Notamacropus eugenii: one gene and its partners. The protein of the gene in region 4 interacts with the protein of the main gene of each other region in a biochemical or structural test. Links are inferred from orthologs where the notes say so. Each region holds a gene or a part of one and is shown on either strand. Other genes may lie near its edges.

Region 1 (8,020 bases), on a different chromosome or scaffold from region 4:
ACAATAATGAAAAAAAAATCCATAAAACATTTTTTAGAAAAACCTCATTAGGTTGAGAAACAAAAATTGGCCTTTTGAAATGAGTACTTTGATATGAAAAGCAATCCATTCTATAGGTGCACATTTTGGAGCAAGGTAATGAAAGTGGGGAGGGGGGGAGGAGGGAAAGGGCATCAAAAAAAAAGAAAAAAGAAAGAAAGAAAGAAAGAAAGAAAGAAAGAAAGAAAGGAAGAAAGAAAGAAAGAAAGAAAGAAAGGAAGAAAGAAAGAAAGAAAAACACCAAAGATAAACTCAGTTGATCAAAGTTATTCCATATCATTGCAAACTACTGCCCATGTAGAAATCACCTAGGCAGTGCTGGAAAATAAAAAGAGATAAATACAACTCAAAAGTAATTAATCCAAGAAAAAAACAGCAGTTGAGTCTAGGTTATCTTTCTCATTCGACAACTTCATTGCTACCAAATACAATATAGAGATTTCGCTTATTAACATAATAATTTAATTAATGTAAATTCTTGTCTCTGTTACAATAGGCAGTCATTTCGGAGATCATTGGTTATATATTTACATTTTCAAGACAAATTCTAGAATAAGAAATGCTCGTATCATTACTCAAAGCTGCTTCTATTTGCAAAGCTTATAAGCAATGTTAATTAATTAATCCTTCTGTTACCCTTCCCTGCTCCAACTCAGAAGGAAAGACAATAGTGCTTCTGTGTGAAGAAATTGAAGGCAACAATTATGAACCAATGCTACTATTGGAATCAAATCCTCCCCAAAAGCTCCCTCCCTACTGTTTGGAGGGCAAGGTGGCTCCCATCACTGAGAAGGGCCCCTTCGTGAAGAGCTAAGTTTTTTCCTCCGGTTTTAAAGAGATTCACTTCTTTCTGGAATCCAAACACCCCATACATTTTCTGGACCCTAGACCTGGAAGCTAAATATAATGGGTTGGGGGGAGTGAGGAGTGAGGGTGCCTTAGCAACACACAGAGCCATTTGACCTAGTTCTCAGGCTTGAAGAGCCCAATAATTACAAGGTAAATGCAATCAATGTAGACAGACAATCTGGATAATTAAGGGAGAGGAATCTTTTCTTTGAAAAATAAAAAAAATACTTCCCCCCCCCCCCCAAACTCCCCAGTTGCAGGAATTATCTAGATAATTGCTTCAGCTGTCTGGATCCCTTTGCCTCAATGTAAACACAGAAGTACCTTTTTACTTTCTAGAAATCGATAAAGTGTGGCTGCAGGGAAAACAACATTCCCAGCGTGTGTGTCTGTGAGAGCCCCAAAGGAGGTTAAAGCCTCGAGCTTCTATGTAATCTTAATCTTGCGGAAAATGCGGTTTAGGAGCCAAGAAGGGGCAACTGGCATGGAAGGTGCCTATTCCTGTGGGGCCGATTTTCGGGTTCATACTTCAAACAAAGGGATCTAAGCCTTGGAGAGGCGGCGCTTTGACAAAGCGATAAATGCTTTGCAAGTGCAAAGTCCGCATAGAAGGGGAGAGTAGCTGGAGATGCCCGTGCCCAAGGAGGCTGCCCGAGGTTCTGCGTTGCCCAGAAGTTCCCGCAGTCTCCCCGCTCCTCCAGCAAAGGACCAGGGCTCCTTCTCGCAGCAAAGACCCCACGGCAGCCAGGAGAAAAGATCCTGCTTCCTCAAACGTCCCGGGGCGTGAGGGGGTGGGGTTGCGAGGCAGGCTGGGACTCCTCAAATAGATTTCTGTCCCGCTTTCCGAGGCCCAATGGCTCTTCTGGAAAGTTTCCCGCAACTGTTAGTGACTATGCCTGCAGTCCAGAACCTGAGTGTTGAGACGTACCTATCCCTCGCACACCACCCCCCACCCTCCGACCCTACCTGTCTTTGGTCTTAGGCGTCTCTTAAGTACCTGACTGCAGCAGTGGACTGGGAGTCAGATAAGCATCCCAGATCCGCTACTTCCTTCCTAGCTGTGCTTCCCAGGGCAAATGACTTCCCTGTTCTGGGCCTCAGTTTCCTTACTTATAAAATACAGGGTTTGGTTGGAGTAGATTGGAGACAGAGTGGCATCATTATAATTTGTAATCTGGAAGACCTGGGTTAGAATTACTGTTCTGACATTAGCTAGCACTGTGACCATAGCTTAGCCAGGTAATCTCTCTGAGCCTTTCTGTTTGTAAAATGAGTAGCACTTACCTCCTCACATGACTGTTAGGAGACTCAAATGAGAAGATATATATATAGATAGATATATAGTACTTTGAAAACTTCGAAGCGCTAAATAAAGGCCAGGTATTATTGTTAGTTGACGAGCCCCAAGGCCCCTTCCAGCTCTGGGCTTGTTTGCCAGGCTGTGCGTCCCCCTGCCACCTCTTAATCCTTTCCGGGCGCCAGGTTTTGACCAGATGAAACCTTAGCTTCTCGATTCTGCGACAGCAAAAGGCAAGATTGGTTTTGACTTGGTTTTCTCTCGCCTTCTTAAGAGGCCCCCATTCGCTGGCCTAGCCCCCGGCTTTTCCCTCCAGACTGACTCCCGCGTGCCCAGGGTTCCTTACCTGAAACCAGCAGGCTTTTCCCAATGAGCCACAAGAGGACCAGAAGCATTCGGGCGCTTTCCATTCTTTAGCTCTGGCAGGACGCAGGCTCCAGCATCCAGATGCTCCAGCGCCGGCTCCTGTCCTGGGGGCTTTCTTTCCCGGTTACTGGCTCGATGGGAGCCACTCCCCCGCCTCCAGTACCAGGAGCTGCCAGTCAGGGCGGGAGGGAGGGCGAAGGCGCCGGGTGCAGATGCCTCCGGCTTGTGCCCGGGCTGGTGCCCCTCACTGGCGCCAGAGGAAAGCACTGCTCACTTAGAGTGAAGACTCCTTGGCCCCCCAGAGAACTTGATCTGACTCAGGGAAGGATTCTGGGTTCGCGAAGGAGTACGAGTGATGGAAGAAGTAGAGAGAGGGAATGGACCGGCCTGACCCAGCTTTGCGTTCCTGGGGGCCTGCCCGGGAATCTGTGCTGGGTCAGCCCCTCCACCAACTCCTCTTGTGAGCACTTGGGGCGGAGCTGTCCTTTACAGTTGGCCAGACCCGCCCCGTCCCGCCCATTCCCACGCCTTGTTCCTCTACCTAGCCCAGGCTAAGATTTAACTGGACCTAATGGAGACCGGTCCCAGATAACTCCGTGCTTTCGGATAGGCCCAATGCAGAGTACATTTTCCAGTCTCTGATCCCTGCTTTGGCCTCCAAAAGGTGTCCCCGTTGCACTAACCAACAGATGAAGCAGGGGCATAGGGGAAAGTGCCCTGACTTAAGAGTTGGAGAGTCTGGCTATTTACCTGTGTGACTCCTAGCAAAGCCCTTCTCCTCTTGGTTTCAAAGCTAAAATGAGGATGATGGACTAGCTAATCTAAAATTCCCTCAGGTTTTAAATGTTTTCATTATTTTTTCTTAATGTATAAGGCATTGGATCTGGAGTCCCTGGGGATTCCTTTGGCTGCCTCTCCCTCTTGGAGACACTGAGGTGATAGGCACCGGGTGAGATGGTCTGAGTGGTTTCCATAAGTTGTGAATTAACACCTAGAATCCCTTGGCAATCTTCCCTATGTGAGTCCTAACTACTGTTCCTATGAGGTTAGGGAAGCCAAGAGAAATCTGGAGAAGGATAGTCTCTGCCTAGACTGGGAGGGTAAATTCATTCCAAGAGAGACATTTAAATACAGTAAGGGAGGACTTCCAAACTCATACAGGCACAGGAGGCATCCTAGCAAAGGAGCATCTCTGTGACTGGGGCTAGAGAGGGGAGGATGCCCACCTAGCTCAACCATAACTAAGATTGTGGCTGCAACTCAAATCAAGTTCCCATTATATGAGAGCCTTCATCCTACAATAATGAGCAGGGGGATCCTGCCTTGGATGAAGGCACCTCAGTTCTTAGAAATGCCCATTTCTGGGATGCCACCCCCTCTGCCAGGCATCGTTAGAAACTTGAAGTTTCTATAGAACCAACTATGCCCAAAATGCTTTCCTAGCATCTCCAGTATTTGCGTGGTTCAGGGTTCTGGTCTTCTCTGAATCCATCTCACCTACTTGCTGTCCACTTTGCGACTGAACCCAGATTTGGAAATAGTGATTTGATTCAGTCTGTGAGCCTCCTATCTTTCCTACCTTTCTGGGGCACAAGGGTGTTTTAGGTGGGAGGGGCAGAAAAGGATCTTTGAACACATTTCTTTTTGTTCCAGTTCCCTTCTTGCTGTCCTTGATTTTTATCCAGTTTCCTTCATAACTCAGGAATCACATCGAGCTTACGCTGAGCTCAGTTACAGAATCTGGCAAATTCCCAAGTTCCTTGCCTCCTTGGAAGATGTAGGCGTTTTATTTTTTTTTTCATCAGCGAGAGTGCCTACAAGATACTGGGGAAGCATACAGAAACTTCATCATACTATAAGTAGAACAATACAAATCCTAACACTTTAAAGAATTGCAATTAACCTCATGATTTAGATCCTATCCCTCCCCCCCAAGACTCTTCATCCCATCTTTGCCTGAATTAATCAGACAGTGGCATTGTAAGAAATGAGGTAAAGAAAGGGGGAAGAGGTCTTCTTACCTGATTATTTCCTGATATTTATTCAACCCTCCATTTGGCTGGCCCGATGCCTGAGGCACCTCTTTTTAAAAATGAATGAATCATTTTTATTTTTAAAAAGTTTTCCTTAAAGATAAAACTATTACCTTGCCCCATCCCAACACACACACACACACACACACACACACACACACACACACACCTACCCTAAATAAAATTTATGAAATTAAAACCGATAGATGATGAGTCAGATGAAGGAAGAACTAGGTGGACATGGCCCTGGGAGATGCTTTCCCTATCTCCTAAATAATTCTCACCTCCTGGTCCTAGTTATTCTCTCCCTTTCCACCACATGCCAATCAAAGACTGATAGAATTTGAAAACTTAAAGAAACCTTTGGGGTGGTTTAGGTCAGTGGTGACATTTGAAAACGAATAGTACATACATGTGAGAAATATTCTGCGCTCGTTCTGATGGTCTGTATGCTCTTATAGGGACACAGAGACTTCTTGCAATAATTCCTTGGTCCCCAAGGGGCCACGGTTCACTATCTGGGGAACACTAGTCTAGGCTAACCATTCCTCTTCCACTTTAGGGATGAATAAACAGGCTGGGAGAGATTCGCTAAATAATTTGCCCAAAGTCACACAGCAAGTTATGACAAAACTGAGTAGATATAGGTCTACTAACTTCCAGGCCAGGACCCCAGAAGTTCACACCATGCTGTTGCTCTCCACCATTTTTGTCCAGTCAAAGAAGTCAGCTCCTTTGCATATAAACCAGAAACTTCAGTCTCATGAAAATAGCCATTTTGAAAAAAGATGAAATAATGACTCCAATGATAGCAAGGCCAGAAATGCCAGGGATCACACTGAAGTTGTTCTGCCATACCCAGTGTCCCATATCACTTTAAAATGCCCAGTTTTCACCACTTTGAAAAAGTCTGAAAAAAAATGTTATCTTGTCAAACTTTGATTTTTCTACTTTTCTGTCCTTATTTAATGCACTGTTGTAATAGAGCGTAATAACAATGGCACATATACTTCAAATGGTTAACCATTGACCTCAAGTGACACTTGCTGAAAATATGAATTGATCATGATGGAGATGGTTCATTTCTACAATGCATCCATTCCTCCATGCTACTGCACATGCAGTCTCACCTTTTGTTATGTGAAAGAGGGCTTATTGGAGCAGAAAGGCATTGGATCCAAATGGAGGATAAGTGATTAAAATATGTTTTGTATAAATTACATGTAACATATGTTATATATGTTTCATAAATTTCATATAAACTATAAACAAATTTTGAGAATGGAAGGAGATGTTTTCCACAACTCTGGTTAGGGGGCAAATTCTTAACCAGAAAATAGACATGATCTTAAAAAACTAATAGACCATTTTGATTATATAAAATTGAGAACCCTTTACATAATAAATCAATGTAGCTAGAATAAGAAGAGATGCTGTTGACTAGGGGAAACCCTTGTAGAAATTCTTAAAGGTCTGATATATGATACGTAGAGAACCAATGGAAATATACTGTAAAAAGAGGCATTTCCTAATAGGTGAGTAGACAAAGGATATGAACAGGCAACTTTCTTTTTTAAAAATAAATTATTATTACAAGCATTTATTATCTCTCCTTCCAATAAAAGCAAAAAATTATTATAACAAATAGGCAGAGTTCAGCAAAATGCATTCTCACATTGGTCACACCCAAAAATGTATGTCTCATTCTACATTTTAAGTGTATGACCTCTCTCTCAAAAGGCAGGTAGCTTATTTCAGTTTTAGTCCTCTGGACTTCATCAGAGTTCTCAAATCTTTAGGAATTATTTTTTAAAAACATTGTTGTCATTGTATGAGTTGTTCTCTTGGTTCTGCTAACTTCATTCTGCATCAGTTCATAGAGATCTTCCAAGATGCTTCTGAAATTGCCCATTTTGTCATTTCTTACGGCACAAAGGTAGTCTATTACATTCACGTACATAACTTGTGTACCAGGTGGATATCTCTTTAGTTTCCAGTTCTTTGCTACTACATTAAAAGGTGCTACAATATTTTTATATGCATTGGTCCTTTTCTTCTTCCTTCGATCTTAGGTACAGTGAACAAGCAATTTTGAAAAGAAGAAATGCAAGCTATCAGTACATAGAAAGATGTTCCAAATCGCTAGTAATAAGGGAAATTCAAATGGAAGCAATGCTAAGGGTCAAGCTACACCTATCAGCTTAGCAAAGATAACTGATGAAAGTAGTAAATGCTGGAATTGTCAACTGGTTTAACATTGTGGAAAACAATTTGGAACTATGCTAGAAAAGTTATTAAACTGTATGTACCCTTTGACACAGTGAGACCACTACTGGCTACTCCTTTACAAAGGAGGTAAAAGTTCAATAGTTATTTTTTTATAGCAGCACTTTTTGTTGTTCCAAAAAAAAATGGAAATAAAATGGATGCCCATCATTAGAAGAACGGTTGAACAAATTGTAAATGGAATGGAATGTTATTTCATCAAGAAATAATGAATATAAAGAATTTAGACTAACTTGGAAAATCTTCCATTAACTAATATAGAGTAAAATAGGCAGCATCAAGAGAACAACTCAGACAATAACCTTAACATTGAAGAACTGAATGTTTGGAAACAGCATTGACTAAGCACTCAGTATAGACAAGGCATTGGTCTAAGCATAGGGAATACTAACTGAAAAGCAAGTCAGTTCCTGCTTTCAAGAAACTCACTCCTGTTCTAATGGGGAAGACAACACATAGAAGATATTTCAGCTACAAATCAGATGGAAAGCGCCTAGCTAAATGATGCAGTGGATAGAGTGCCAGACCCGGAGTCAGAAAGACCTGAGTTCGAATCCAGCCTCAGACACTTACTAAATATATGACCCGGGGCAAGTCACTTAACCCTGTTTGCCTCCATTTTCTCTTCTGTAAAATGAGCTGGAGAAGGAAATGGCAAACCAATATAGCATCTTTGCCAAGAAAATCCCAGATAGTCACGAAGAGTCGGACACTTCTGAAACAAGCCAACAAAGACATAGTCCTTAGAGTATATTGGACCCTGATTACTCTCCCTCATATTCAGTTCTGTTTTCATCATCATTATTTTGGATTCGACCAACAAGTATTTATTGCATGCCTCGTTTATAGCATATAGCTTATAGCTTAGCACATAGTTTATAGTTCAGCATATATTTATAATTTATATACTTAGGATACAAAGACAAAAATGTAACAGTCCCTGGCCTCCAGGAACTTAAATTCTATTGTGGAAAGTGATATATTCACAACCAGAAACTAAATATTCAGGCTTACTTACTTAAAAATCAGATGCCATCCAAGCTTTCTAGGATCACTGACATGAAGCATTATTCTAATATGATTTCTGTTAGTCTATTTTACCACTCCTCATCTTTTAGTCATTTTTTAAAAATTAAAAACTTATCACAGG
Region 2 (7,020 bases), on a different chromosome or scaffold from region 4:
CACTCTCTACCTGTGCCATCAATCTTAACACATATTACACTGTGCATATCAACAGATACTGATAAACACTTTTAAATATTTATACTGCAGTAAGATAGTGCTTTTTCAAACTTTACTCCACTTAACCCCTTACTGTGGTAGAAATGAGGCTTAGAGAGAGAAGGAAACATTGATTTAACTTGATTTATATTTCTTTCCCAATGTCAGCCAACCAACCAGAAACTGACCATTTTTATTCCCTTATTTTTTCAAAAGAACAACTTTGTAAGGAAAAATCTATCTAGTTATTCAGAAAAAAGAGTACTTGATCTAAAAGTCAAAGAAATTAATAGATCATACCTTAGGACTTAAACTTTAAAATAAGAACTAAGAAATAGACCTACTGTGATGTCTTATTTTAAATGTACATGCTTCTTCTAAAACTGAACATTACAACAACATAGGAGATTCCTAAGCAAATTAGAAATTAGATTCTAAACATTCAAGTTCAAAACGAAATTTAAAAAGGCATGTATTTTGCAGCAAGCAGAAAATAGATAAAACTGAACACTTGCTGAGATGCACTGAGAAGGCTTTTAAAAGTACTGTATATAATATCCTAAAAGTCTTAGTATAATTTTAAATGATTAAAGCTTGAAAGCTAATAACCATTTATTAAGCATCAACTTTGCACCATGCACTGTGCTAAGAGCTATATACAAAGTAAAGCCTGCTCTCAAGGAGTTCACAATCTAATGGGAGGAGATTACCTGAAAATAGCTATGTACAAATAAGCTATAAACAGAATAAACTGGAGATAATGTACAGAGGGAAGGCACTAGAACTAAGGTTGACTGATAGAGTCTTCTTATGGAAATGGTGTGATTTTAGCTGGCATTTAAATGCACAGAGGGAAGCCAGGAGGCAGGAGATGAGGAGGGAGAGAATTCTAGATAAGGGGGACAGGCAGTGAACATGCCTAGATTCTGGGTATGGAGTCTTCTTGTAGGAACAGCAAGGAGACCACTATCATCGATCCAAATGTATCTGGAGGATATAAGATAACAGAAGACTAGAAAGTGCATGGAGCCAGAAGGTCTTTGCCCTCCAAATTTCACTAAAACTTTTGGGACACTATACTAAAATTGCTCTGTCATTTGCTAACTTTGTTTCCTTGGATGAGTCACTTAACCTTGGTTTCCTCGGCTGGAAAATGATGAGTAGACCAGATGATCTTTAAGGTCTCTTCCAGCTCTATATGATCTGTTTTTTTAGATCAAGGAGAAGGCACTTATTCTCTTAACCAATCAACAAGGATTTATTAAGAGCCACTATGTGGCAAGCACTGTGCTATCCACCCTATAGACAAAAACAAAACATAAAACAATTTCTGATCTGGAGGAAGAATGACACGAAACCACGATGGATAGAAATGTGCAAATTACTTTTTAGCTCTAAAGTCAAATCAAAGCTTTTCTTTAAAAAAGTCAATCAGCTCTGACGCTGACTTCCAGTGTCCTTGGCTCACTTCTGCAACCAAGGCCAACTGCGAGGCACGGAGTTCCTTGAAATACTCTTTATTCATTCAATCTTGAAACACCTCACCAGGAATTAAAATTCACTACAAACGTCACAGAAGTATTCGAAGGAGCAGGTGCACACACTTCCAACCAGTATCTCTAATCTTGTCCCTATACTAAATTGATTGTCTAAGGGGATGGTCACGAGAGCCGACATACGGCCACTGCCGAGCTCCATTTTAAAAACTCTCTTACAATGAGCAGACCATTCTAAATAAAAACTCTTGTGTCTCTGAGACTTGGGGGAAAGGCAGAAAAGAAGCTTTAATTAGGCAAGACGAAGGAAAGGAACAGTGCAGTGGCAGTCAGGTAAGGTGCAACGTGCATTCTAGTCCCTAGCTATTCAACTAATTAGCTTGGGCACACTTCGTGCCTCCGTTTCCTCATCTGTAAAACCAGATGATTGGACTAGATTTTCTTTCAGGTCCTTTCCAACGTTCATGTTAGGTGAATCTCTAGTGGAATCTCTTTGTATCCCTACCCTCTCTGCATGTCAGGCCCGGGAGATCCTCCTATTCTTGCTGCAGAACTGGAAGGAATAGGGGGTGGGGGTTGGAGGGGGCGAGGGGAGAACCGGCAGCTCTGCCCGACCCACGACGCTCGGGTTGGCAGCGAGAACCCCGGCACCACTTCTGGGCTGCCTGCCATGCTTTCTTCTCCCCAGTCTCAGCAGCTACGGAAAACCGAGAGGAAACCTCATATAGAAGAGCTCGATCAGATCCGCCCCGCCCTGGCAGGGAAGCTGCTGGGGAATATGGGGATATGGAGAGGGTGTGTGGACCCGCACCCCGGCCCCGAAAGAGCTAGCCCTCTCGGCCCCTCGGCCTTTGCCAGCCGCGCGAATCCGCAACAGCTGTCAAATCCAGTCCGAGGAAAAGCAGCCTTGCCGGGTCTGGCTGGGAAAGAGGAACGCCGGGAGCTCTCTGCGCCTCCAGCCTGAGCCGCGGAGAGAAAAACGGGGAACCAGCGGCGGCAGCCACCGCCCCGTGAGCCCGCAGCACGCCGGGTCGGAGCCGGAGCCGGAGCCGGAGCCGGAGCCGGAGCCGGGCGAGCCCAGGCAGAGCAGCCGCAGCGCAGCGCAGCGCAGCGCAGTGCAGAGCGCGGGGCTTGGGCAGGGGAGCCAGGCGCGGAGCAGCAGCCGCCTAGAGCATCGCAGCCACTGTCCCTTACCGTAGCTGCTCCCCGGTGACCAGGATCTCTGCCATGTGCTCCAGCTCCCTTTGCTGCAAGCCTCCGCTGACCGTGCCACCGCCGCCAGTGCCGCCTGTGCCCGAGCCCGTGCCGGTGCCCGTGCCCGTGCCCGTGCCGCTGCTACTGCCGCCCTCCTCCTCCATCCTCGCGAGCTGCTCACTCTTCTCTCCCCGCTGTAGGCTCGCCCGGGTGTTAAGAATCAGCCAGCCCTTACAGAAGCCCCAGCCGCCATCTCTGTTGGGGGCAACCTCGGGACTCGTGTGTGATTGGGGAGAGCTCAGTGAATCCCTCCCTCCCTGCGGAGAAAGGGTGGGGCCGCAGACCAGGGGGCGGCGCTGTGGGGGTGGTCAGGGCCCGCGTGGCCCTTCTGGGCGGGACCAGAGGGAAAACATAAACACGAGGCCGGTGTCCAGTAGGGAACTTGAGGGCAGCTTGTGGCCAAGAAGTGGCTGTAGACTCGTGGCCCCGAGGTTTCTCTCCAGAGCTCTAGCTGGGTGGCCCTTCGTGTGGGTCATTAGTTGTTTGGACTGAGTGTCCAAACGGTCAGACATTGTTAACATCGCTGTTGTTTATTACCGTTGTTAACCTAAATTAGGAAAGGGTAGGAGAAATGTCCTACTGGCTTAGTAATAAACTGGACTGGACAGAGAGAGGACATTATTCATGCCATTGCAAGTCTGGTAGAAACTAAAAAGGCAATCTTCCTATGCATATTGCAGAATTCATGTCCTTCTAAAAGTCTTCCTCTATTCCAGGGGTTCCTAAACTTGAAGTCTGAGACCTATTAATATATACATATATACACATATATGTATATATTAATATATAAAAGTATTTATATATGTATATTTATACAATCTGTATTTCAAAAAAAATTGTTTTCCTTTTAAACATGTGTATTGCATTTTATGTATTAAAAACATTCTGAGGAGTCCATGAGTTTCATCAAACTGCTAAGGGGATCTATATGACACACACAAAAAGTTAAGAACCTTCATTGCAGTGCAACACCTCATTTCACAGATGAGGAAACAGGATAATGTATTAAAATGGAAGGAGGGTTGCATTTTAAAATGAGGAAGACAGGTTTAATTATCTGTTCAGATCCTTACCAGCTGTGTGAACCTGGCTAAATCTCAGCCTTGGTTTCTTCATGAACCACGGTATAATCAACCTAAATGATTTGCCAAAGGTCACACTTATAGTGAGGGGGATTTGAACTTAGGTCTTTTGACTCCAAAGCCAATGGTCTTTCAGCCATTCCAGGCTGTCTCTCCTTATTTCTCTCAAGTCCGAGTCAGAGCTATACATGATATGCATGGGTGGGAAACTTGCAGCCTGGAGGCCACATGTGGCCTTTTAGGTCCTTGGGTGTGGCCTTTTGACTGAATCCAGGTTTTATAGAACAAATCCTTTTATTAAGGGGATTTGTTCTGTGAAGTTTGGATGTAGTCAGTAAATCACACTTGAAGACCTAGAGGGCCACATGTAGTCTCTAGGCTGCAGGTTCCCCAAGCCAGGATAGGGCAACCTGGGTCTTCCCCTCCATGGCACTAAAATAGACAGAGTGCTGATGACACTTCTGTTTCTTCAGCAAATAGAAACAACTAAGTCTGGTATCTAGTATTTACAGATAGCCAAATGCCCAAGTGGATGTTATTTCATCAATTCAGAAATTCCCTGCAGCCCATCCTGTGTAACTTTTATCATGTCCTCCTGTAATTCCTACACAAGGGGTCCACCCAACATGCTGGAGACCTTTCTCAAAATCTCATCTGACATTGTGAGGATACCAGAGGAGCACTCTAGCTCCTATATATCACTCTAGCTCCTCATATATCATTTTCATTCTTACCACATGATTGGCCCCTTTTCTCTGCCTGTTGTACAGTTCCTTTGTTCTTCTTTGGAGGTCTTCTTTGGTTACATGTTGCAGCCTGCTCACCCCTACCATATGCCTTTCCATTTTCCTCTGTATGATCTTCATTTTTAATACTTTGAAGACCATTGTATTCCAGATCTTGCTGCCAAATATCAATACCAGTAGAATGTTAGCATTAAGAAAATGGACCTTTGCTTTCATGGGAAGCTTAGTTTCTGAAAAGGGGCTTTACAGTTTTTCCCAAGGCAATTCAGCCTCTTCTACCCCTCTTCAACTCTGGGAGTAGCTAGTCTTCAGGCTGTTCCAGACAAAGTTTTCCATCTGCTTTGCAGATATTCCTATGAATTTCTAGACTTTTACATAGCTCTTATTTTGTACTGTAGTCAGGTCCCAAACTAGACTATTGGACTTGTAGCATGAAAATGTGAGTTAATATCCCATCTCTGAAACTGTTTGGGAAACAATGAGTTGCTTATCATCCCTGTGCCTCAGACAACTCCTGGTGACCAATCTCCTGAGACTGCCATAAATGGAGAGATTTCTCACATCAGATTTTCAAAAATTCACACACTAGGATCCATGTGAACAGGGAACATGTCTATTCTAAACTTTGCATCTCCCCATGTATCTAGCACAGCAGTCTAGACACAATGCTAAATGTCTCTTGATTTGATTTCTACATATATAGGTTTTATCTTCAGTTAATCACACATTTAACAAATATTTATAGGGCTTCTGCTAGGCACCAGGCATTGTGCTAGATGCTGGGAATTCAAATATAAAGAATGAAAGAATGTGTATTATAAAAAATGCAACATAATTAAATGCAATTGACTTAGGAAGAAAGGACACTAACATTTCAGGACCAAGAAAGGCTTTGACTAGAAGGCAGCTCTAGAATAGTGTCTTGAAGAAAAAGAGGGATCCTATTTGCTGTACTTATCTTCTCTATTCAATCAGTTCCAGTAGGGAAAGGATAATGTCTTATTTGACTTTATATCTATCGACTTTCCCATCATGCCTTGCGTAGTGCTTCATACACAGCAGGAGCTGAGGAGATCTAGGTTTTAGTCAAAGCTCCGACACAGTGAAAGATAAGACAAATTGCTTCATCCTGTAAACTGGTTGTCTCTTTCAAATGTACATTTTGAATGTACACACAATATTATATATTGTATTTATGTATATAAAGACAAGGAGTTGATGAATTCTTAAAGCTCCTTTTAGCTCAAAGAGCTATGAAACTATTCTTTGCATGCTAGATCCTACAACAAAACTATCTCTGACTTCCTTGGTTCAAGAACTATGTCTAATCAGTGGTCCTCAGAAAGACATACATAGCAAGCTTTTGAAATTGGAGCACATTCATACAACAGACTACTTGTAAGTTCCACTTAAGAATGAATGAATTCTGTGCAAACTAATCTCAGGCAACTTTGAAGTTTAAATGATTATTCCTAATTTGGAAGGTGTGATTGTCTTAAGTTCTTTCTGTACTGCTCCTGTTTTTTGATTATTCAGAGTATTCATGTTGAAAGTTTATAGAATGAATGAAGGAATGAAAAGGCATTTGTTAAATAATTACTGGGTCCAAAGCACTCTGGGAATACAAACAGAAAAGACTACTTTCAAGAAGCTCCTTTCAAATGGGGAATGCAACATATACAGAAGTCACCTACAAGTCACCTATGAGGAAAGAACCTATGGTCTGGAGGGTATAGGGACAATATAGGTGGCAAAGCATTTTCTTCATTTTCATTTCCACTGATAAAGTGCCAAGGACTTTAGTGCTGGCTTCTTTTCCCCTTGAATCTTCAGCAGTTGCCAGGTCACCCCGAAGTTACCTCCTGGCCTGATAGCTGCAGACTAGATATCCAGGCAAAAGGTGAGAGGAATATTATCAGTCCCCAGAAATTCTCTGGACCACATTATTTCATTTTGAAAACCAGTTAGAAATATTTACTTAAGCATGCAAGATACATGACTATAGAACCATATCTTAAAAATCTCTAGGCAGGACTCTATTCTGGAATTTCATACTAGATGGACCTAGAAATAAAATGTTAATTAGTTGAAGCACAGGTAAACAAAGACTAGGAGACGGGAATGGGAATGCATACAGCTCTCATGTTCCGAAACGTCATAAATATGTAGAATGTACAAGCCTAGAGAACAGGCTTCAGAATGGCTTCATGTTTTGTCTTTGTATTTTGAGTGCTTAACATATTATAGGTACTTAATAAATACTTATTAATTAGCTGATTGAATCATAGACTATCCAGCTACAAGAGACTTAAAAAAAACACCAGAACTAACCCTATCATTTTACAAATCATGAAAGTGAGACTCAGAGTCAACAAATGACTTGCCTGAGATCACACAGGTAGT
Region 3 (7,117 bases), on a different chromosome or scaffold from region 4:
GAATGTACATGAGGAGTGTGTGCATGTGAATAAAATAAGGGAATGTAGTGTGTTTCTATACGAGACAGGGGAACTTAGTGTGATGTGCGTCTAAGAGAGAGGGGAACCATGTGTATATATGGGTGTATGTAAAAGATAGAGGAATTCTAGGACATATAAATGCTGGAAAAATCTAGTCTTTGTATATAATACATAGGACAACCTATTCTCTGTGTACATGTGCTATGTGTAAGAAATGATGAAATTGCTGGTGTGTTTGTATGTAAAAGATGGAAGTATCTATCTTGCCTGTGTGTGCATGTGTGTAAGAGATGAGAGAATCCATCCTGTGTGCATATAAGATGGGAGATCTATCATGCATGTGTGTAAGAGATGGGAGAATCTATTCTGTATGTGCATGTAAGGGAAAATATCATGCAAGTGTGAAAGAGATAAGACAATCTATTGTGTGCTTGTGTAAGAGATGAGAGATCATGCATGCGTGTATAAGAAATGAGAATCTATCATGTGTGTGCATGTAGAAATCTATTCTATATATGAGATAAAGATGAAAATATATTGCATGTATGGAGAATCTAGCATGTATGTATGTGAGACTAACATATACAAAAGAACATATTATAAGGGAAAGGTAGACACATAACATAATTGTTTATGTTGTATATATGTGGATTCTATCAGGTACGTATGTGTGTTGTTGTGTCTAGGGAGAATCAATCACCTGGGTGGATAGAAAATCTATCTTGTGTATGTTGGAGAATACCATGTACATGAGGGCCTATGTATATCTGGGAAAAATCTATTGAGTGTGTGTATAGATGGGAGACTATCATCTTTCTTTTGTGGGAGAATCTTCTTTTGTGTGAACATGAATAAGATGTGAAAATCTATTACAATGCTTGTGAAAGAGACAGGAGAATCTATCATGGAGTAGGCACGTGTGTCTCTACAGTAGTACGTATATGTAGACTGTCATGTGAGAATGTGCTATATATACACACGTGTAAATGTGTGAGAATTTATTCTTTGTGTGTTCATATATATGGGAAAGATTTGGCCTGCATGTGTGTGGGAGGGGGGAAAGGGAGAAAAAGAATCTACCTTGCCTGTGTCTGCAAGTGTGTTATAGAATCCAGTCTCCATAAACACAAAAGAGAAGATAATCTATCTTGTATATATGTATGTATGTATGTATATGTATATAAACATATATGTATAAATAGAGAAGGGAGGTTTAATCAACCCTTCACAGGAAAGAAATGCTAAGAATCTACCATAGGAGGATAAAATAAAAAAGAATGGGAACCAATCATCATGTGTGGTGTGTGTAAAAGAAGGTGGGAAACTATATATATATATATAGGGACAGGGTAAAAAGGCAGAAGAACCTGCCATTGGGTGAAATGGGAAATCTACAAAGGAGGGGATAAGAGATGGGGAAATCTATCATGAGGAGTGGTGGTAAGAGATGGGGGAACCCACCTGGTGGGGAGATAGAGAATCTACTATGGGGGAGAATAAGAGACGGGGAATCTTCCTTGGGGGTAACAGATGTGAGAATCTACTGTGGAAGGTAATACATGGGGAAACCTACCATGAGGAAGGGGGCAAGAGATGGAGAATCTACCATGGTGGGGGGAGATGGGGGAACCTTACCATATGCGGGGAAAGAGATGGAGAATCTATTACGGGGGAGGACAAAAGATGGGGGAACTTACCATGGAGGTGGGATAAGAGATGGAGAATCTGGGAGAAGGGTAATAGACTGGGGAATCTACCATGGGAGGGGTAAGAGATGGGGAGTCTATCATGGGGCAGGATAATAGATGAGGAATCGGGGGGGTGGGGGTAATCGATGGGGAATCTAGCATGGCACGGGGGGCAGAGCTGGGGAACCTACCACGGCGTGGGGGGGAGGCAAAGGAACCCCACGGGGTGGCCGGGTTCTCCGGGGCCTGGCTCCCATGTAAGAAGTCGGGCTGCTCCCTGCCTTACCTTGAAGTAGCCGCCCTCGTAGTAGGTGTTGGGGGGCCCGAAGATGGCCACCTCCCAGTTGTACAGGTCGCCCTCGTCCACCAGGGTCACCCGGAAGCCCTCGACCGGCTCCTCCTGCAGCCCCTTGAGCTCCAGGAGCAGCGCCTTCTGCGAGCTGGGCACCAGCGGCCGGGCCATGGCGCAGGAGGCGGAGGCAGTGGCAGCGGCAGCGGCAGCGGCAGCAGCGGGAGTCAGGGAGGCGGCGGCAGCGGTGGCGGCGGCGGCGGGGGCCGAGGTCGAGGGGCCGGGCTGGGCCGCGTCGGGGGAACTAGGCCGCACGGCCGCCCCGGACTCGCGTGACGGGCCGGGCCGAACTCTCTGGGCAGGGGGGGAGGAGGAGCCGCCGCCGCCACTGCCGGGAGCCGCCGCCTCCGAGCCCTGAACCCCCGAGCGCTCCACTCGTTCTGGATCCCCGCTCCCCCCCCAGCCCAGCCCAGCCCGGCCCCCCGCTCCGCCTTCTCCTCCCCCTGCCTCGCCCTCCCTTCAGCCCGCCCTCAGCCGCCGCCTCCTCCTTCTTCTACTTCCCCTTCCCCTTGTCTTCAGGCCGCTGCCCGCGCGGGGCACGCCGGGAACTGTGGTCCGCTCCGGCCCGCCGGCGGCGGGGCGCCTGCGCCGGGCTGCCCGCCTGTCTGCCTGCCCGCCCTCCCGCTCTGCCTGTCTAGCCCTCCTGCTCTCCTGACTATTTCTGCCCGCGCCTGCGCCTGCGCCTGCGCCTGCGCCACCCCGTCGGCTACCGCGAGCCCGTTCCCCCCCCTCCCGACCGGCCTATCCTAGGGGGAGAGGAGAGGGGGGCCGAGCGCGCAAGCGCGCCTCAGCCGCGATTGGGTTTCGCCCCCAGGCCGAGGCCGCAGCCGCCCCAGCCGGGACTACAACCCCCAGACACCTCTGCTGGGGGGGGAACGCAGGGACGGGGGGCTGCTGGGATGGGTAGGCGTTGGAGCCCGTGGCGGCCCGTGTGGTTGGGTTTGTTGTTTTGTTTTGTTTTGTGTTTTTTTTGTGACGTCCTTCACCCCCTCACCTGAATTGGTGAGGGCGGGGCTCGGGTAGTAGGCGAGTAGGGACGGGGCACAGGGAAGCGGGTCAGCTCAGCTGGGCCGGACCCTGGGCCCATCCGACCCAACAAACTTTTTTTTTTAAAGAATTTATTATGAAGGAACAGGGCGTGTTTGTCCGGGAGAGGAGAAGGCCGGGGCTGGAGATTTTGCAAGGCTTGAGGCAGCCGCCGAGTCCAGCTTGGCCCTGGAGGTCGGCTCTCGAGGCAGCAGACCTGCCAGGGCCGGGGGCGGGCCGGGGAGGGGGTCCGGGGGGGAGGAGTAGTGGTGGGAGGGGGGGGTGGCCCCCGCCAGTAGAGAGCTCCCCGTCCCTAAGAGGCTTCCAGAGAAGCCGCGCGGTGCTGCACGCGCGCAGTAGGGGGTCCCGGTTCAGACCGAGCCCAGGCTAGGTCTAGGTCCCCGCCAGCCTCCGCCCGAAGGCTGAGCCTGGTTAAGGACTGGGCTGGGGTGAGGACGAGCCACCCTCCTCCAGCCCTCCGGCCCAGCTGAGAAGCATGCCCCGCAGCCCGCACGCGGGACGCACGCACGCGCGATTCCGTGCGGTGACTCGGGCGCCCGAGGCTGCTGGAGGACAGGCTTTTGTGCTGTTGTCTCGGGCTGCCCAGCGCGGGGCCTGCCCGGCACGTAGCAGGCGTGCAATTGGAATGGGGCTGTTTGCTTTGGCAGCGGGCGCTCGCTCGAGGAGGACGTGCCAGGGTGCCCTTGGTTTCTGGGCTGGGACACACATCCGGAAGGATGCGTGCAGGGGAGGGGGGGCGGGGCTGTGCCCAAGCATTCTTGTCCTTGGTGCCTGTTGACCCACTGCTGAGGACTTCGCTCCAGTGCTGATGACCCCTCTCTCTATAAAGTATCAGTCATCAGTGCTTCCCCCAGTGTAAAAGGGCCTTTGCTGTAGCACTGATGAGGTCTCATGCACTGCAGTGTGAACTCCCTTTCATTTTATTTTTATGCCCCCTTGAACGGGGGAGATGCCAGCACTGCCAAAACAGGTCTTCAGAGCGGGTCAGCCAAGACAGGCTGGTAATACCCACTACATGTGGCAAAATAAACAAGCCGTCCCTCTGCCCTAGCGCAGTGCATTCAGGCAGAGGGAATGAAGCCACTGTTTGTGGGTCCCTTCCTCCCTTTGGGCCTCAGATCAGCATGGTCTGGGTGTGGAGAGGACACAAGCCTTAGAATCAGCAGAGACTTGGATTGGAACCCCACTTGCCAATGAGTTGTATCACCGTGGTTGTCCAAGGGACTAAACTTTTCTGAGTCTCAGTCTGTGAAATAGGGATAATGAAATCCATAGTACTTATCTCACAGGGTTATCTAAAGGATCATATAATACGTAGAAATATGTCCACCTTAATGGCCTGTACAAATGACAATTATTGTTTCCTCTTCTGTAAAATGAGGTAGTTGGTTTCTAAGGTCCCTTCCATCCTGAACACCCTTGGTTCTGCAAATAAATGCAACAAACTCTTTTATCCAAAAGAAAGAGGGGATGATCCTCCCTCCTTGGGGGTCTTCAAGCAAAGGCTGGAAGAGGCCTTACTGGGTTTGCTAGAGAGAGAATTAATGCTTCTGCCTGAGTTAAACTAGTTGGTGCCTTCCAGCTGAGATTCTGAGATTCAGTACCTGGCCAGTATAGGGGGAAAGACAAAACAGAGACAAGAGGTGACTGATGAATCATCTTTCTCCTGCCCTTGGAAACTTACAGCCTCGGCACCTTGCACATGAACATGGTAAGATTACGTGAGAGGGCAAGAGGTAAATAACCTCAAGACAAGAAGGGAGGAATTGTCACAAAGCCGGATATGATTCACTGGAAGATGAACTTGGTGGTGGTGTAGGAGTTCAGGAAGGGGGAAATCAAGGAAGGCTCAGCAAAGGAGGTGGTTTTCAGCTGGGCCTAGAGGGATTTGGATAGGTTGAGCATGTGGGAAGGCAGTGGAGGAACATTCTGAGAAAGAGGAAGGGGAGATTGTCTAGAGGTGGACAGCGTGTTTTAGAGGCTGGTAATAAACCAGTCTGACTGGAACAGGAAGATTCCTCAGAGGGAGGCAGGGGAAGATAAGTTGGGTAGATGGGTTTTTTTTATTGTTTGTTTGTTTGTTTTTAATAAGGCAGTTGGGAGCTATTGAAGGTGTCTGAATAGAAGAGGGACATGTTTTGAGAAAATATTTCTGGATCTATGAAGAATGACTTGGAGGGACAGAGATCAGAAGCAGGGAGGCCAGTAGTTCATAATGAGAGAGGATGAGGAGAAGGGTATTTATAAAATGCATACTATGTACCAGGCACTATGCTAGGCACTTTAAAAATATTATCTTATTTCTCAATGGGTGGGGAGGGATGGGAGGGAAGGAAAGAATTTGGAATTTTTAAAAATTGTTTAAATGAATGTTAAAAATAATATTTCTAAAAGAGACATTTGATCTCACAACAATTCATTTCATCCTCATAACAATTCTGTAAGGTAGGTACTATTTTTATCCTCAGTTTTTCTGACTCTTCATGACCCCATTTGGGGTTTTCCTGGCAGAGATACTGGAGTGGTTTGCCATTTCCTTCTTCAGCTCATTTTACAGAGGAGGAAACTGAGGCAAACAGGGTTAAGTGACTTGTCCAGGGTCACACAGCTAGTGAGTGTCTGAGGCTGGATTTGAACTCAGGAAGATGAGTCTTCCTGATTCTAGACCCAATACAATGTCTACTGTTCACTACCTAGCTGTCCATTTTACAGATGAGGAAACTGAAGCAGACAGAGGTGATGTAACTTGCCCAGAGTCACACCTAATTGAGCTCAAATTTGAACTCCGGTCTTCTTGCCTCAAGGTCCAGTGCTCTAATAACCTATGATGATCTAGCCCCTTCCATGCATTATTTCAATTGGTCCTCAAGATAGTCCATGAAGCCTGTATTGCAAGTTATCCTTATTTTATAGAGAAGGAAACTGAAACTCAGCAAAGTTAAATGGCTGGCCTAAGGTCACACAGGTAGTAAGTGTCAAGAGGCAGAATTTGAACTCAGATCTTTCTGACTCCCAAGTCTAGCACTCCAGCTACTATGTCACATTGTCTTTTGAGAGGAGAAGTGTTGAGGGTTTGGAATCAGCAGGACTTGGTGATGGATGAGATGTGAAGAAGAAGAAGAAAGAGGGGGCAAGCTTGGGTGAATGCAGTGGCTGGAATAGAAATAAGCACGTTAGGAGGAAGAGCTGAATTTGGATTTTAGACAATGATTGAAGGGGCCAGTAAGAAGGCAGAGCTGTGCAAGATGTAGTTAAAGCATGCAGGAATGTAGCTCTGGATAGAGGCAGGAGCTGGTTGGGCCACAGCTCTGTGTCACCCAATATAGGGGATAGTTAAAAATAAGGGAGATTGTAAAGGGAAAAGGACCCATATGGACCAAAATATTTATAGCAGCCCTTTTCGTTGTGGCAAAAAATTGAAAGTTCAGGGGATATCCATGAATTGAGAAATGGCTGAACAAATTGTGGTATACGAAGGTAATGGAATACTACTGTTCCATAAGAAATGGTGAGCAGGTAGATTTCAGAAAATTCTGGAAAGACTTACAAGAACGGATGCTGAGTGAAGTGAGCAGAACCTGGAGAACGTTGTACACAGTCATAGCAACATCGTGTGATGACCACGTTTGATAGACTTCACTCTTCTCAGCAACATACTGATCTAAGACAATTCCAAAAGACTCTTGATGGAAAATGCTACCGACATCCAGAGAAAGAACTCTGGAGTCTGAATGCAGACTATTCTCTCCCTTTTTAAATTTTTTCTTTCTTTTGGATTTTCCTTTTTGTTCTGATTCTTCTTTCACAATATATCTAACATGGAAATGTGTTTAATACGGTCATACCTCTATCAGATTGCTCATTGCCTTAGGGAGTGGAGAGGAGAGAGGAAGAAGAAAAAAATTTGGAACTCAAAATCTTATGAAAGTGATGTTGAAAACCATCTTTACATGTAATTGGAAGAAATAAAATACTACTAAGTGGGGAAAGTACTAAAAAGAGTAATAAAAAT
Region 4 (7,016 bases):
GCAAATAGCTCTGCTACTTCACGAGCCACTGTAGGCTCCACCATATTACTCTATAGTACAATAATTCATGTTCCAAAAGTCCCTGAAAAACCAAATATTAAAAGGGATCTGTGATCTGGTCATCATGGGTTTTCCCTCCAACAACACAAATCACAACTGATCTACCCCTGCCCATCCTATAGGACTTTTGTCCCTGCCCTATGTTTGCCATGGCTGGGGTTGGGGATGGGGTGGAGGTGTGAGGACAGGCTCAGCTATACCCAACCTGCTACAATTTGACATCACAAAGATACCAGTGGAACTCAAGGGCTGTCTATCACTTATCCCCACTTATAATATAACTAACTCAGCTTTTCTTTGGTGACCCTTTACTTGTGGTATCTGGCAGCCATGTTTATCCCTCATATGCCTCTTCAGGTTATTTTCAGTTTCAGTTCTTTGGCAGAGTAATGTTCTATGGTTTTCAAACATACATCAGTACATACATCAGTTTAATATTGGTATTAAAAAGATGAACTTATGTTCCAGGGAGAAGTTGTAGGGCAGAACATAGACAAGGAACTAGAGAATAGACTTTGGTCTCTAAACGGGTAAATTTGATGCCTAAACGATACTCCCTCAGAGAAGTGCTTGATCACAAAGAGAGCAGCAAATGTGGGCAAGAATGGAGTGGCAAGAACTCAGGCTAAGGTCTCTGGAGAAAATGTCAAATACCTCAAAAGTATTATGTGCTGCTATCTACTTCTCTCACTTTTCACCCCCTTGGAGTTGGTATTTGCCCAATCATTCCATAAAAATTGCTTTCTCATATATTTTCCTTTGGATGCATAATCAGTTAAACCAATGATTTTTTCTGTGGATTTTCTGTTCTGCCCTGCCATATTTGACTTTATTGCAAGGCCAACATTTTGTCAGTTTCTTATTTGCTTATTATTCTGCCTGCTTGACTTAGCCTTATTCCACAAGTAAAGGGGATGTCTCATATCTCTCTCTATTCCAAGGCACACTGTTGTTTGGCACGTCCGCTGGAAGAAAGTACACTTTGGGGGCTGCTAAATAAGCAATCCCTTTTCCATCAGTCCTGCGTGGTACAAATAACTCATTGGTTTTACTCTCCAAGTAGAATGCTATTCAGGTAAGTGGGTAATACTCTTTTTTTCCCTCTAAGAGTACAGTTTTAGGAAATGCCCTAAGCACTGAGTCCTAAATTAAAATTTTGAGAACTCTTATTCTTTGGCTAGAAAGTTAGATTTTGAAATTACATAGTCAGTCTGGAGAATTCCTTCCTTTCTTCCACTTTCACCTGCCACACAGGGGCCTAGGGTTGATGAACATTGTCCATGAACTGCACTTTTGTTTTGAGTAAGCACACTAGTCTGCTTTTACCCTGTGCTTCTACAGAAAATCTATCAGTATGCTGATTGCTGTCACCTTGGGTTGAGAATCTTGCCTTTCAGGATCTCTTCTTTCCAGCTACCAGCAAGAATATACAACTTGTCTCTTTCCCAAGACAGTCATTTTTAGTTCCTGGATACATACAGAAAATAGTTTTCCTCCCCCTAGGACTATATCTGTACACTAACCTATTTCTAGATGGGAGAAAAAGAATGCCTGAAAGAGTGAGCTGTTGGGTCTGTCAGTTCTTTTTTTTTTTTTTAAATTATTATTGTTATTATTTGTCCGTAGATTCTGGAGGGGCCCAATGACATCACAGGGTGATGACCTGACTGGTACTTTAATTGGATTTAAGTGAGGCAGAACTGATAGAGGACAAAGACCAGAAGCTTCTTCTACAAAAATTAGTCTTTTTACATTCCAGATGGCCAATCATCTTGGCAGCAGCTTTAGGTACTGGGTCTAGTTCTGAGTCCCTTAAGTAAGGTACTAGTGGGTATGCCTACATTCTCCATGGAGAGGTTCTACTAAGAGTCCTCTAAAGGCTCATGCCTTGAAATTTTATCAAGTTGTTGAGTTGGGGAAACGTCCAGTGGATCAGTGACTATTAATCACCTCACCCCACATACTCATGCTTTAATTCACCTATTTTGTAAATTTATACATCAATATGCCTGTAAATATTAATCAATATCTATATGTCCTGTCAGTGTTAGGCCTGGGTTTGCTTCAGGTGGAATTATTTTGTTTTAGGGTAGAACCAAATTCCAAAATGAAGCTTTTCCAGAATTAAAAACCACATTCAACACTAGCTAGCCCCCCCAAAAAATTCCTGTAACTCTGACTTCCTGTAATTTACCTATTTCCACCACATAGATATTTCACAAGCTTGGCTTTGGGCCAGAACTGTAAGCTTTGAGAGGTCATGAGTCAGGTCTGGTCTCCCAGAACTAGAAGGCTAGTTCCCATGGCAAGATCTTGTCTAATTTCGGGAACAGAGGCCTGAATTTTGCAGGCAAGATGATGAGTTCTGGACAAGGAGTGGGAAAGGCCTTAGGCAGGTAGACCAAGGGATGTCAAAGCACTCAGCAGCCTGCTCACAAGCTGAGTTCCAGTGGATAGCAATCCTTTGGATACAGGACAGATCTATGAGGTTTGGGGAGTATCTAGCCCCCCTAAACCTCAGTTCGCAGGGTTCTGGTAAAACCTTTCTCTGTGTCTGTGATTAACCCCTTGCTGCTAGGTAAAAGTGACATGGTCGCCATCTTGTGAACAAATCCCAAGTCAGACTCCCTAAGCTTCTCACAGTAACCAAGGTGACAGTGCACTTCCGCTACCCAGAAACTGAAAAACTACATTTCCCATGAGTCCCTTTTCCAACTCCAGGTAGGTGGACTTCCTCGGACCAATTCTCGTAGGGAAATAGCAGAGCTGGCCTAGCGCAGGGATTGGCGGGTGTCTCAGTTCCCTTCGTTGCCCCGCCCTATACTGCTTTCAGGCCGAGAACTACATATCCCGTGAGCCCGCGGGCCCGCGCTTGCGCGCGGCTGAGCCGGTTCTCCCTTGCCCCCCTGCCGGCGCCGGGAGAGGTAGGGAGAGGGCGGGGGGAAGGAAGAGGAGGCGGGATCCGGGAGCTGCGCTGGCTGCGGCCTGGCACGAAGGGGGCGGCCCTGGCGGAGCAGTGAGACCCAGCGGCCCCCGGTGACTATGGACCCGGCCGAGGCGGTGCTGCAGGAGAAGGCGCTCAAGTTTATGGTGAGGAGAAGGCGCGGGCCGGGGAGCAGCGGCGTTGGCGGCGGCGGCGGGAGTAGCAGCCGCGTCGTTCTTGGCTGCGGCTTGGGCCTGGGCCGCTTGTCTGGAGAGGGGGACAGCGAGTTTGGGGTCCGGGGGCGGCGGCGGCCGCGGGGGCGGCGGAGGCCGGAAGGGTCCGGGCAGGCTGGGAGCTGGGGGCCTGGGCCCGGGGGGTCGGGAGTAGCAGCTCCGCCATCTTGTGGAGGAGAGTCCCAGTGACAGCGGGGTCCCGACGGAGGGGGGCTGCCCGTGGCGCGCGGGGCGACGGAGGGGAAGGACAGAGCGGGCCAGTTCCTGGGGAAATGGAAGGTTGCGGAGGCGAGGGCGGGCGGGGGCCGTTGTCTGTCCCGCCGCGCGGGCGGCTCTCGGCCGCTGCGGGGGCGGACAGGTATTTGGGGGCCGAGTGCGGGAAGGGCCGGACGCAGTGGGGCTGCGGGGAGGAAGCCGGGCTCCCGGGGCTGGGGCGAGAGGCCACTAGAGACGAGGGCACCGGGACTGGGGAGGCCTGAGCCAGCCTAAGAGGAGACGAGGGGACGAGCAAGATTCTCCTACTTTGGAACGGACGGGGGGTTAATATTGTAACAGAACAAGTTGATGGTCTCCAAGTATTGACCAGAACAAGGTCAGGGGCAGGGGAAGAGTTTAGAGGCCACTAAGGTTAGGGGCAAATGCCTACTCGTGGGAGGAAAGGCAAGGAAGGTTAAGGCAGTCTCGGAAAGGACTGGGTCGTGGAGAGTCTCCCTAAGTGTCGCCGAGTGAATTAGTGACATGGGAGTGCGGGAGTGGAGAGGGGTTGGGAGACACTGAAGAGAAAGCAGTGGGACGGTGGAATGGGAAAAGTGATGCTAGATCTCTGTACTCATTAGAGAGTGTGAGATATTGTTACATTTTTCTGTAACTTTGTATCATGCTATACTTGTGTTTTGCTAGTGTCTGGTCAGTTTTGAGTAAGTTTAGCATTTGAGGCTTTTAATCTGATTGCCCTTGGCTTTCCCACATACAAAACTTCAGTGATGTCATCAGACTCTGTAGTTACTGCTAGCGAGTGATAATGAAAAAGAATACACATAGACTTTATCTGAGTTTACCAGTTGGTCTTTAGGAAATCAATACTATTTGCATAAGTTTCCAATTTCTTCAGAGTTGAATTTGGAATAATGACAGCCCCTAACCCCATTCTTTGAATGAATGGTTGGTATTTCCAGTGTTGCCTGGAATACAGTAACAACTGCAAACTAAAATAGCTACTGAGTTAATATTAGGTCAAAACAATCTAGATGTTTTGTTTCCAAGAATGAATTCTAAGTGATTTGTATCATTTGGTGGAAGTTCATTTGATGGGAATTAATGTTTTTACGGACCAGAATTAAAAATTTATTAAGAATATAGAAATCAGTTGTTTGAAGTGTCTCTTTGAATTGCTACCCAAAGTTTGAATACTGTATCAGGTATAAAAATCTTTGATTTAGGAGGTAGCATAGGGTAGTGAAAAGAACATTGTATTTACAGTTAGAGGATGTGGAAGTCCTGGCTCTTCTAACTTACTACCTGTTTGACTTTGGGCAATCTTGACCTCAGTTTTCCCATCTGTTTACAGAGAAAGGGTTGGACTAGAATGAACTCCCAGCCCACTTTTGATTCTAAATCTATGAGCCTATGATGCTTTATTTTTATTTTACAAGGCAGGAATTATTCATATACACATATGGACAGCTTCTAGTCTTTAAAGATGGTAGTCACTTAGTTTCTATTTTCTCCTTAGAGGATAGAATTTTTCTATCAACTTAAGACATTTTTACCAGATTTATGGAATAATATAATTTACAGATCACAAACACATATTATGAGATCATCTACTTTAGGCAGCAGTGCAAGAACATTCTTTACTACTTGGTCTCAGTTCTATACCAAGGAGTTACTTATGTTTGAGTTGTGCCACCTGAGTTAAATTAAACTTATAAATCTGAACTAGATTGACCATATCTTACTTTATACCTGTCAGAGTACCTTATAATATTAAGATTGAGTCACTTCCTATAGGGATAATAAAGCTCTATAGACAAGGACTCAGCTTCTGATGCCTTTCTTTTGGCACTACCAGCCATAGCTTTTGTCTGAAAGGAAGCCCAAGTAGTCACCAAGAGAGAAAACAGAGACATATTTTAAATGCTAGAGCAGAGGACTGAGATCTAGATATTTAGTGTTCCAGTTGAACAGTCTTTTACATGAATTTGGGTAAGTCAACTCTTTGACCTCATTTCCCTATTTATGAGATCTTTGTTTACTTGTGTTAACTTTTGAGGTCTTTTAATGACTCTGTGTTTACAAAATCTTGAAGAATGTGAGTATACTAGATATGAACTTAATCACCAATGTTCTGCTTACTAGAATTAGAGGAATCATTCCATAGGAGAGTTATTAAAAGACCTTACTTTAAATTCTTGCTCTGTTATGTACTGTGGAATGGTGGGCTAGAGCTTTGAGCCTCACTGACTTTGTAAAATAGAGAACTAGACTAAATCTCTAAGGTGTCTTCCAGCTCAGAAATCCTATAGTTTCTGTGGTTTCACTTTAACTTTGAGTGATGTGCAGTGCTTGGCAAAAAGTAGGTGCTTAATAAATACTTGTTGGCTTGAGGGGAGGGCAATTTTAGCACAGATGAAAGACAATTTCACACTATGTTAGCTAAGAAATTTGTTACCCCAAAAGAACTCAAATACAAATAGATTCAAGAAATGTTTAGATAAATTTATGGGTGATCTATAACATTATTTAGAATGCATTAGTAAATGTTTGGAGGACACTTGTAACCTTGTGAAGTTAAGACCAAGAATGATAACCACTTTATTCCACAAAACATCTCTGATGGCCCCATCAGAATGTTGGTTTGGGTCTATTTGGGGCATTATTTGAATTCAGTCAGACTGTTCTTATTCTTCCTTGTTATCTCCTGCATGGTGCTTATTTACGTCGACCAACTCAGCTGACTGAAGGATGTTCATAGACATTGACAGGGATAGGGGCTAGCATTTACATAGTACTTTAAAACTTGCCGAGTGCTTTACAAACATCATCTGATCTAATTCTCGTTACAGTCCTGGGGGATGGTGTAGTGCTATTATTATTTCTGTTTTACAGGTGAAGAAACTGACCCAGACAAGTGTTAAGTGCCTTGTTTAGGATTACACAACTAGTAAGGATCTGAAGCTAGATTTGAATTTGGGTCTTCCTGACTCTAAGTCCAACACTCTATCCACAGAGCTGCCTAGTAGTCTCAAATACTCTTCCCTGGGTAATCAGTACGCAAAAAGAACCTCTTTTTAACTAAAATTTATTTACAATATCTAGGGTTATTCTCTCCTCCTTCATTCCTTTCCTCAAGTTATGAATTATTTCAGACCACTTTTGCACAGATTTTGTAGTTTGCGTATTTTAATAGTTAAATTTTTCCCCCCAAATAAAAATGAAATTGGTATTTTTGTACAAACTTTAAACTATGAACATAGTTTAGAGAAGATTAATTACAGTAAAACTTTATCTGTACTCCTGATTTTATATTGGTTGTGCTTTATCTGAGATCTAGGCTAAGGTTTAACTTTGCTCCCTTTATGTAAGAGGGTTTGCCAGAGATGAATAATGTAAAGTTAACCTACTTAAGGAAACATTATTTTAAAGCACGTTAGAAGTACTAGATTATACCAAACTAATAATGATTTTATTAGGAGTCATTATTTATTGATCACAGCAGATTCCCCAGGTACTTTTGCCCACAATTTGTTAGGGGGGAAAAAGATCCCTCACAGAAATATATAAGGAGGCTAGAAAAGATA

What was found. The genes of interacting proteins can lie anywhere in the genome.
Region 1: the proteins of BTRC (region 4) and KDR form a complex in vitro, tested with the Homo sapiens proteins (2 studies listed by BioGRID, with this or other methods). The link is inferred for Notamacropus eugenii from reciprocal best matches to the Homo sapiens genes BTRC and KDR.
Region 2: of the proteins of BTRC (region 4) and DEPTOR, one has a biochemical effect on the other in vitro, tested with the Homo sapiens proteins (3 studies listed by BioGRID, with this or other methods). The link is inferred for Notamacropus eugenii from reciprocal best matches to the Homo sapiens genes BTRC and DEPTOR.
Region 3: the proteins of BTRC (region 4) and CDC34 form a complex in vitro, tested with the Homo sapiens proteins (4 studies listed by BioGRID and IntAct, with this or other methods). The link is inferred for Notamacropus eugenii from reciprocal best matches to the Homo sapiens genes BTRC and CDC34.

Annotation. Positions count from the first base shown.
Region 1 is NC_092877.1:106,551,856-106,559,875, forward strand, and holds the start of KDR (vascular endothelial growth factor receptor 2), read right to left. Parts: upstream 3,014-8,020; 5' UTR 2,596-3,013; coding exon 2,532-2,595; intron 1-2,531. UniProt on the Homo sapiens protein: Tyrosine-protein kinase that acts as a cell-surface receptor for VEGFA, VEGFC and VEGFD. Plays an essential role in the regulation of angiogenesis, vascular development, vascular permeability, and embryonic hematopoiesis.
Region 2 is NC_092875.1:125,303,576-125,310,595, forward strand, and holds the start of DEPTOR (DEP domain-containing mTOR-interacting protein), read right to left. Parts: upstream 3,014-7,020; 5' UTR 2,894-3,013; coding exon 2,730-2,893; intron 1-2,729. UniProt on the Homo sapiens protein: Negative regulator of the mTORC1 and mTORC2 complexes: inhibits the protein kinase activity of MTOR, thereby inactivating both complexes. DEPTOR inhibits mTORC1 and mTORC2 to induce autophagy.
Region 3 is NC_092875.1:69,196,986-69,204,102, reverse strand, and holds the start of CDC34 (ubiquitin-conjugating enzyme E2 R1), read right to left. Parts: upstream 3,014-7,117; 5' UTR 2,173-3,013; coding exon 1,996-2,172; intron 1-1,995. UniProt on the Homo sapiens protein: E2 ubiquitin-conjugating enzyme that accepts ubiquitin from an E1 ubiquitin-activating protein, and catalyzes its covalent attachment to other proteins by an E3 ubiquitin-protein ligase complex. In vitro catalyzes 'Lys-48'-linked polyubiquitination.
Region 4 is NC_092872.1:179,423,716-179,430,731, forward strand, and holds the start of BTRC (F-box/WD repeat-containing protein 1A), read left to right. Parts: upstream 1-4,003; 5' UTR 4,004-5,411; coding exon 5,412-5,421; intron 5,422-7,016. UniProt on the Homo sapiens protein: Substrate recognition component of a SCF (SKP1-CUL1-F-box protein) E3 ubiquitin-protein ligase complex which mediates the ubiquitination and subsequent proteasomal degradation of target proteins. Recognizes and binds to phosphorylated target proteins.